Linked DNA regions of Rattus norvegicus. The protein of the gene in region 2 binds, or shares a complex with, the protein of the main gene of each other region. Links are inferred from orthologs where the notes say so. Each region holds a gene or a part of one and is shown on either strand. Other genes may lie near its edges.

Region 1 (2,954 bases), on a different chromosome or scaffold from region 2:
GAAGTTGTGAACGTCTTTCATCAAGATAGAGCAGGTCTCGGGAATGGTCAAGGGAGAGCAAGCCAACTACAGACCAAGAAAAGCCCATCACACTCCTTCACACTACCCGGCTTTGTCAGGTTTCTACTTGTCCTTTTTTTCCCCATTCCTGTCACTGCTGCTTCCTAAAGAGCTATGAGCTCTGGGGTAGGTGGGAACCATGACTTGCTTCTAACTGAGGAACAAGGCAGACGAGACAGAAGACCCATGACATCACATGAGACACTAAGTCTAGCCTGCTCTCTTGTTAGCCTTGAAAAAGCACCCATGGGGCAAGGCACAAAATGTGGACTCCAGTAGAGGTAGAGCCCATCACAAGGCGTAGGAAGCTGAGAGGAAGTGCATCGTGGTGGCACCTCAGCTGTGACCACAGCCCACAAGGCCATGCCTGCATCACTGGCCCATAAAAACGTAAGATCATAAATATGCTATTATATGTTGCTAGCTTTAGCATTCAATGATGGATGACTACTTCAGATTTCAAGATATTTTTATTTTAAACTGTTTTATTATAAAACTAATACAAATAACAAATGAAATGTAGAGAAGGAAAGCAGTCCACTTGCTGCCCTGCCATCCTACAGGGACCATCGCTGGTGATCTGATTGTCTACTTTCACAGCCTGGTGTGTCATTCGCATCCATGCCACGTTAACGCTGTGGTCCTTCTCTTACTGTAGTGTTGTCTCCATGCTGCTCACGGATACCTGCCTATCGACTAGAGCTGTGGGACAGCAGAGACACAGCCAGCCTCCGCCACTCTGAACGTCTCCTTGGTGTAAACCCCCATGACTGTACTGTCTCTCATAAGAAAGTTCTAGGCTAACTATATTTGCAAGCAATATAGTGTTTCCATCCGAGGTTTTGTTCTGAAAGAAAGTTTATGGGTTGGGACTAGCTAAGTCAGCCCTGACTACCTCTGAGATAAAAGACGAAGCACGCTGATGAGCCTTGCATCCAATCTTTCAGGAATGAAATCAGCACCAAGAAGGGTGGCCGTCATCTTCTAAGAGAAATATTCTGCAACACAGAAGGAGAGCATAGGTAAGAGTACAATCAGAAAGATATTTAGCGTGACTATGCCAACTAGACGGACATGTAGAGCAAGCAAACGCAGACACGAACTAATGTTCCGGCAGAACGGAACTCCGTGTTTTCTACTACAACCATTACTGGCCTTTGTACTTCACTCCGGTTACTCACTTAGACGCACGAATGCACAAAATGCTTGGGAAAAATAGGACATTCTCCACAGAACAGGAAAATCAAACTAGTTCTTCAAAAAACAGCTAGGAAAATGCAGCCTTTTCTTATTCTGAGGAATAAAAACCAAGCCTTTTTTGCCTTGAATTTCTCACGTGGCAAAGGAAGTGGAAACTGAGTGGCCTGATCCACACTCGGGGTCAGGCTGAGCCTCTCTCTCCCATTACTGTTTCGGTCTCTCTCCCATTAATGTTTCCGGTCAATCACTTCAAAACTGACCTGAGGGTCTGGCAGCATAAATCCGTCGGTAAGTTTATAATAGACGATTGTGGAATCTGACTCCACTATGGCCAAAGTAAAAGACATCGGCAGCTCCGGATCGCCTTGCAACTTTCTAGACGCCTTCAAGATTTCCCTTATCCTGGAAATGAAGACAAAGGATGCTTGAGAGTCCTGGTTACTTGAGTAACAGTAAGGCCAAACAGTAGGAGTTTCTGAGGGGAAGGTAGGGCATTGCATCCAAACGCTAAGGCTCACTGAACACATCTGCGGCTGTCTTCTCACGCAGACCGCCCTGAGAACCGCCTGCATCCTCACTGTCCTTTCTCTCTCTGGACTGGCTGATTCTGGAACCCAAAGAACACAACTACGACCTAAGAGTGCTGTTCATCTAATTGGCTAAGGACCATACATGTTAATTTTCCAAGTTGGTAACTTATTGGAACCAAGTGACACTGGGGTCTATTACTTTAAACAGATTGTAGGGCTGTTGTGATGGAAGACGCCTATATCCCAGCCTGGGAGGCAGAGGCAGGAAAGTCACAGAAAATCAGAGATAAGACAGGTTTATACAGAGTTCCTGGCCAGCCAGGGCTTACACAGTGAGACCCAGTCTCAAAATATCTGAAAAATAAGGACTGTAATAACCATGACCCCTTGTTTTTCCACAGGGTTTATACTACTACCTTTGCATATGTAACTCCCCATTTGTTACCTACTGACCCAATTATTCTCCTACTGTTGCAAGGTTTGGGGTTTTTGTTTTGTTTGTTTTCGTTCTTTTGTTTTCTCAACCTAATCGGGGGAACCACATGAGTGTCTTACTTTAATATTCTCAAGACTTCTGGTATTTCTATATTCACATTATCCTCTGGCATCATTTCCTCGCTCAAAAATTGATTCCATTCTCCCCTTATGCTTTTTGTTTAAATTGTCAAATATTGCTGGTTAAAAATAATTTCTGGGGGCTGGGGATTTAGCTCAGTGATAGAGTGCTTACCTAGGAAGCGCAAGGCCCTGGGTTCGGTCCCCAGCTCCGAAAAAAAGAACCAAAAAAAAAAATAATAATAATTTCTGTATGTGAGTGTTTTTCCTGCACATCATGTGTGTGCAGTGCCCACAGAAGAGGGTGTTGGGTCCTCTGGAACTGCAGTTACCAGCCAGCTGCCATATGCGTGCTGGGCACAAAACCAGAGTCGTCTGCAACAGCAACATTGCTCCTAGCCACTCATACTGCTTCTTTCCCATTCATAAAGCCTAGTAAACGCTCACAAAAACCCGCAGTGGACACGCTGAAAGTAAATTCCTCTAAGTGTCCCTAGCTGGCAAACCATGATGAGTACAGGACAGAGACGGAAAGAAAAAGGAAAAGGAAAGGAAGGAAGGAAATAAAAAACCTTGTTAAGACAACTTTATACAATTTCTCTCTTTTAA
Region 2 (3,979 bases):
TTTTTTTCTTTGTTGAGCTAAGGTGTCATGTAGCCAAAGCTAGCCTCAAACTCTTATCTATGAGATAAGTCTATCTATGTCTCCTCTTATCTAGAGCCGAGACTAGAGGCCTGTGCCACAATACCCAACTCTAATCTTACACATTAATTCTTTGATAACTAATACTGTTTCCCAGACATCTGGAGGTTTTTTGGTTTTGGTTTGTTGGATTTGATTTTTCATGACAGGGTTTCTCTGTGTAGCTTTGGCTGGCCTGGATACCAGGCTGGCCTCAAACTCACAGAGATCTGACTGCTTCTGCCTCCTGAGTGCTGGGATTGAAGGTATGTGCCATCACTGCCTGGCAACAACTGGTTTGTTGCTGTTGTTGTTGTTCTGGCTTTTGTTTTGAGGCTCTCTCACTATGCAGCTTGGCTGGGATTACAGGCATACACCATTTCTTCCAGCTTAATAACTCTGTTTTGTTCCTAACTTATCAGTAACAGCCCTACTTTTAATCTTTCAATTCTATAACTAATCCTGCAGTGAATGGGCTCATATGTTTTGTGCACATTATGTAAGGATTTCTAAGTCACTTTCTAGATCACAGGCAGTATTTATAAAAAGTTACTACACTAAGCCAGGTGTTGTGACACAAGCCTGCAGTTCCAGCACTTCGGAGGTAGAGAAAGGAAGACCTCGCATTCCAAGGCTAGCCTGTGCAGCATAGCAAATTCCAAGCTAATTTTGGCTATGGGATGAGAACCTGTCTCTGACAAAACTATCCTCCTCGAGTTCAAGAGAACTCTGGTATATTCGATGTCCCTGTTTTAGGTTCCCTGGGCATAGAGGTGGGACAAAAGAGAAAATGTGCAACAAATAAAGACCATCAGAAAAGGTACAGCCACCACAGCCCCAACTCAAACTCACCAGGATAGACCAGGAAGTCACCACCAAACTTCCCAGCTGCGCTGAGGAAGAAGCCTCTCTCCCACAGGTCTCTGTAGATGCTGTAGCGAAGCTCATGAGCAGGACGGCCAGCATGGGGCCAGTCTTTGGACTGCACACGCCAGTCCAGAGGCTTAGCTTTTACAGGCCGAGGCCTGGCAGTGGCCAGCTGGATAAGCAGGGCTGATCTGGGCAAGGGAGTCACCCCATTTGAAGGTCCTGGTTGGGGGGATGAAGAATCTGGGGGTGGGGGTGGGACAGAAGAATTTACTGAGTCCACAAGGTCTTCTTATCCCCAGAAAAACCCAGCTAAAATTCTCCAAAGCTTCCCTCCCTCCAGCCCCAAATCTTAACTCTAAATCCTACTCTCACCTGCTCCTTCCTGCTCCGCAGAAGCCTGACCATCATCACTGGTCTCACTTCCTTGGGTAGCTTCACTTCCACCGGCTTCTTGGCCTTCTTCATCTGCCCCAGAATCCTGTTCCAGCTTCTGCTTCTTGGCAGCCTGGCCTTCTACGATCTTCTCCAGAAGCTCCTGACGCCGGGTCTCCCGGGCCTCTGCTGCCAAAGTGCTCTGATCCTGGAAACTCTGCTCTTGCTGGCGTTTGAACGACGCTAGGGCCTGAGAAGTAAACTTAGCTGGAATCCCAAGACACAGCCTGCAGTCCCTTAGGAAGGCAGGAATTCTGACCCTGTTTACAACCTTCCAACTGCCTCTTTCTAGAACAGGCCCTCCCAGGCCTTCCCAATATACCGGCCTTTCGTTTCTTACCAAGCCATGGTTGCGGGGATCCGGACGCGGGGCGCTGACTAAGGTCACAGCGCCTATCTCCGCCAGGAGCCGGGCTTCTTCAGGCAGCAGCAGAAGCGGAAGGCCCAGGCGCGAGTTCTGGCGGGGCCCGCGGGGCAGGGCGCCCACCGTGCGTCCCCCGACTCCCAGGCGCTCCCGCAGCGCCTGCACCGCCTCGGCTCCCCATACCAGCGAGCGGCCATTAGCGACCTCCACCACCAGCATCTTCCTGCGGAGTGGGGGTGCGTCGCGGTCACCCAAACAGCTCCACGGACCGGACTGAAGTCGTCCAAGCCCTCAGGGCAAGACCCCGCCCATGACCCCCCAGGGGGCGGGGCCAAGGTTGCTACCTGCACCCAGGCCAAGATCTACCCTGGGACGGTCCAGTTAAGACCACGCCCCTCACCCAGGTCCCACTGTTCCGCTCCCCCTCCGCTCCAGGTGACCATCATCTCTGCCAATGCGTGCCACCACATCTCAACTCCTCAGAGAGACCTCCCGCCATAGTGGTGCACCGCCCTTTTTGCAAAGTGCGTATCTTCTTTCTGTTGCGTCCGTCAGGTCTCGGAACCTCAATGTAGGGTGGAGGTTTGCTCAAGCCACACCCTTTTCTAAATAGTTGGAGCCCAGCCCCGCCCCTTTCGAATTTCTGAGATTCTCCCTTCCCGCCTATTCTGAGTCGGGCTTTTTAAAAGAAACCCAGTCCTGTCTTGCGCCAGCTGTACGATGTTCCAGCACCCTAAATAAAGCTCAATCGGGAGCCCTGCCCACCCTAAACAGCAAGCGTTCAGCCTTCGGAAGATTTCGACTCTACTTCCGAACGCTTGCGGGAGATCTCGGCTCAGTCGAATCAGCCACCCCCTCTAAGTTGCAAGAAGTTCGGCTTTCGAGCCTAGCCAGATCCGGTCATTCTTCAGTTGTGGCCCCGCCCACTTCCTACCCAATTTAAGGAGTTCACGCCTACGATTGAATCCACAGTCGCACACTGTGCACGCTGTGGCTCCTCTTCAATCTGCCGTACTGTCCCTGGGCACAGGCAATAAGTCAACACCTAGCCAACACCAAATCCCGATTAAGGCGGAGCTGGCCCTACGTAGCGCGTCCTCCGTCATCCCGTCAGGTCAGCAAAGCGGAAAAGCTAAGGGAGCCCTCACCGCCACTCTGGTCTACATAAGTGGGACCTTGAGGGTCATTGATCTGGCCTCGCCCCTAAATCCATGAGTTATGGAGGCCCCGCCCCTTCGCCTTTTTCCGGTCTTCCGTGGCTCCGCCTTCCTCTCGCCAGCAAGGCTTGACGTTTCAATAAGCTATTAGCTCTGCCTGTTATTAAACCAAGTCTACTGACACTCTAGTTCCAAAGCTAGGCCAAAACTTCTGCCCTCACTGGCATTTGACCTGAAAAGCATTCAGTTATCTGAAATAAGTCCAAATATGTGACCCCGCCCACATCCCGCCGTTATCTGACTCTCCTACGTCGCCGGATTCCGACTATCTCCGAAGTAAGCCGAAGCATGCGGTCCCGCCTACTTCGTGCTGCGTTCCTAGAGCCCGCCTAACACTAAACAACGACTTTTGGACCCGATCATTTCCGAAACAAGCCGAAGCGTGTAGCCCCGCCTACATCCGGCCGAGTTTGTGAATGCATCTAATTCCGAACGGTGACTTTAGAACTCGGCTATCTCCGAAGTAAGCCGAAGCTTGTGGCCCCACCTCCACGCCGTGAGCTTGAATGACCGAGTGTGCCCGAAGGAATCCGAAGCTGAAAGTCTGTCTTTTTCCGAAGCTGAGCTCCAGGTCCCTCCTCCTTCTCATGTCTCAACCAGACTCGAAGCTCTTGGTCCCGCCTCTCTGACCCGAAACCCCGCCCCTTCACGTACTGGCAGCTCTTTGCCCGGGGGCCTCCTAGAACGATCGCGACCGGCATCTTGCGGCATACTGGTGTTCTGGGTTCCTTTCTTACGGTGCTGTATCTCGTAAAGCAGAGGCTCTCGGGGCCTGGACCCCGCAGCCCTGCCGGCGCCCTCCAGAACGAGCAGTGCGGGGGCGTGCTGAGCTGGGGAGGCGTGGCCCGAGCCAAGGCGGTCTCGAAAAGGGGCTCCGCAGTCTTCTGCCCGGCGGACGGTTCAGGTGGGCCCAGGTTGGGTTGTATGACGGCGTCACGAAGATCGGTAGGGTGGCGGGGTGCGGGGACAGCGCCCAGAGCGTGGCCCGGCTGGGTGGCGTAACCGCCTGTGGATCTGCCGGGGCGGAATCAGATCCACG

Evidence for each region.
Region 1: the proteins of Tsen34 (region 2) and Tsen15 are in contact, whole or in part, in a crystal structure (PDB 6Z9U), measured with the Homo sapiens proteins. The link is inferred for Rattus norvegicus from reciprocal best matches to the Homo sapiens genes TSEN34 and TSEN15. Residues at the interface, in NP_001070914.1 of Homo sapiens: Pro251, Leu252, Arg253, Phe254, His255, Ala256, His257, Tyr258, Pro265, Glu266, Asp267, Thr268, Ile269, Pro270, Leu271, Gln272, Leu274, Ser283, Val284, Arg285, Lys286, Thr287, Leu289, Leu290, Cys291, Ser292, Gln294, Val300, Tyr301, Thr302; in NP_443197.1 of Homo sapiens: Leu70, Lys74, Trp76, Thr108, Pro109, Ile110, Thr111, Ala112, Ser113, Leu114, Ser115, His116, Asn117, Ile119, Arg120, Leu123, Leu141, Ile143, Val151, Tyr152, Tyr153, Lys154, Leu155, Thr156, Asp157, Gly158, Phe159, Met160, Leu161, Pro162.

The regions. Positions count from the first base shown.
Region 1 is NC_086031.1:67,039,623-67,042,576, forward strand, and holds the end of Tsen15 (tRNA-splicing endonuclease subunit Sen15), read right to left. Parts: intron 1,663-2,954; coding exon 1,521-1,662; intron 1,059-1,520; coding exon 1,038-1,058; coding exon of another isoform or gene 1,016-1,037; 3' UTR 512-1,015; downstream 1-511. UniProt on the Homo sapiens protein: Non-catalytic subunit of the tRNA-splicing endonuclease complex, a complex responsible for identification and cleavage of the splice sites in pre-tRNA. It cleaves pre-tRNA at the 5' and 3' splice sites to release the intron.
Region 2 is NC_086019.1:74,436,993-74,440,971, forward strand, and holds the start of Tsen34 (tRNA-splicing endonuclease subunit Sen34), read right to left. Parts: upstream 2,803-3,979; 5' UTR 2,658-2,802; exon of another isoform or gene 2,124-2,657; intron 1,999-2,123; exon of another isoform or gene 1,947-1,998; 5' UTR 1,943-1,946; coding exon 1,700-1,942; intron 1,550-1,699; coding exon 1,300-1,549; intron 1,168-1,299; coding exon 910-1,167; intron 1-909. UniProt on the Homo sapiens protein: Constitutes one of the two catalytic subunit of the tRNA-splicing endonuclease complex, a complex responsible for identification and cleavage of the splice sites in pre-tRNA. It cleaves pre-tRNA at the 5'- and 3'-splice sites to release the intron.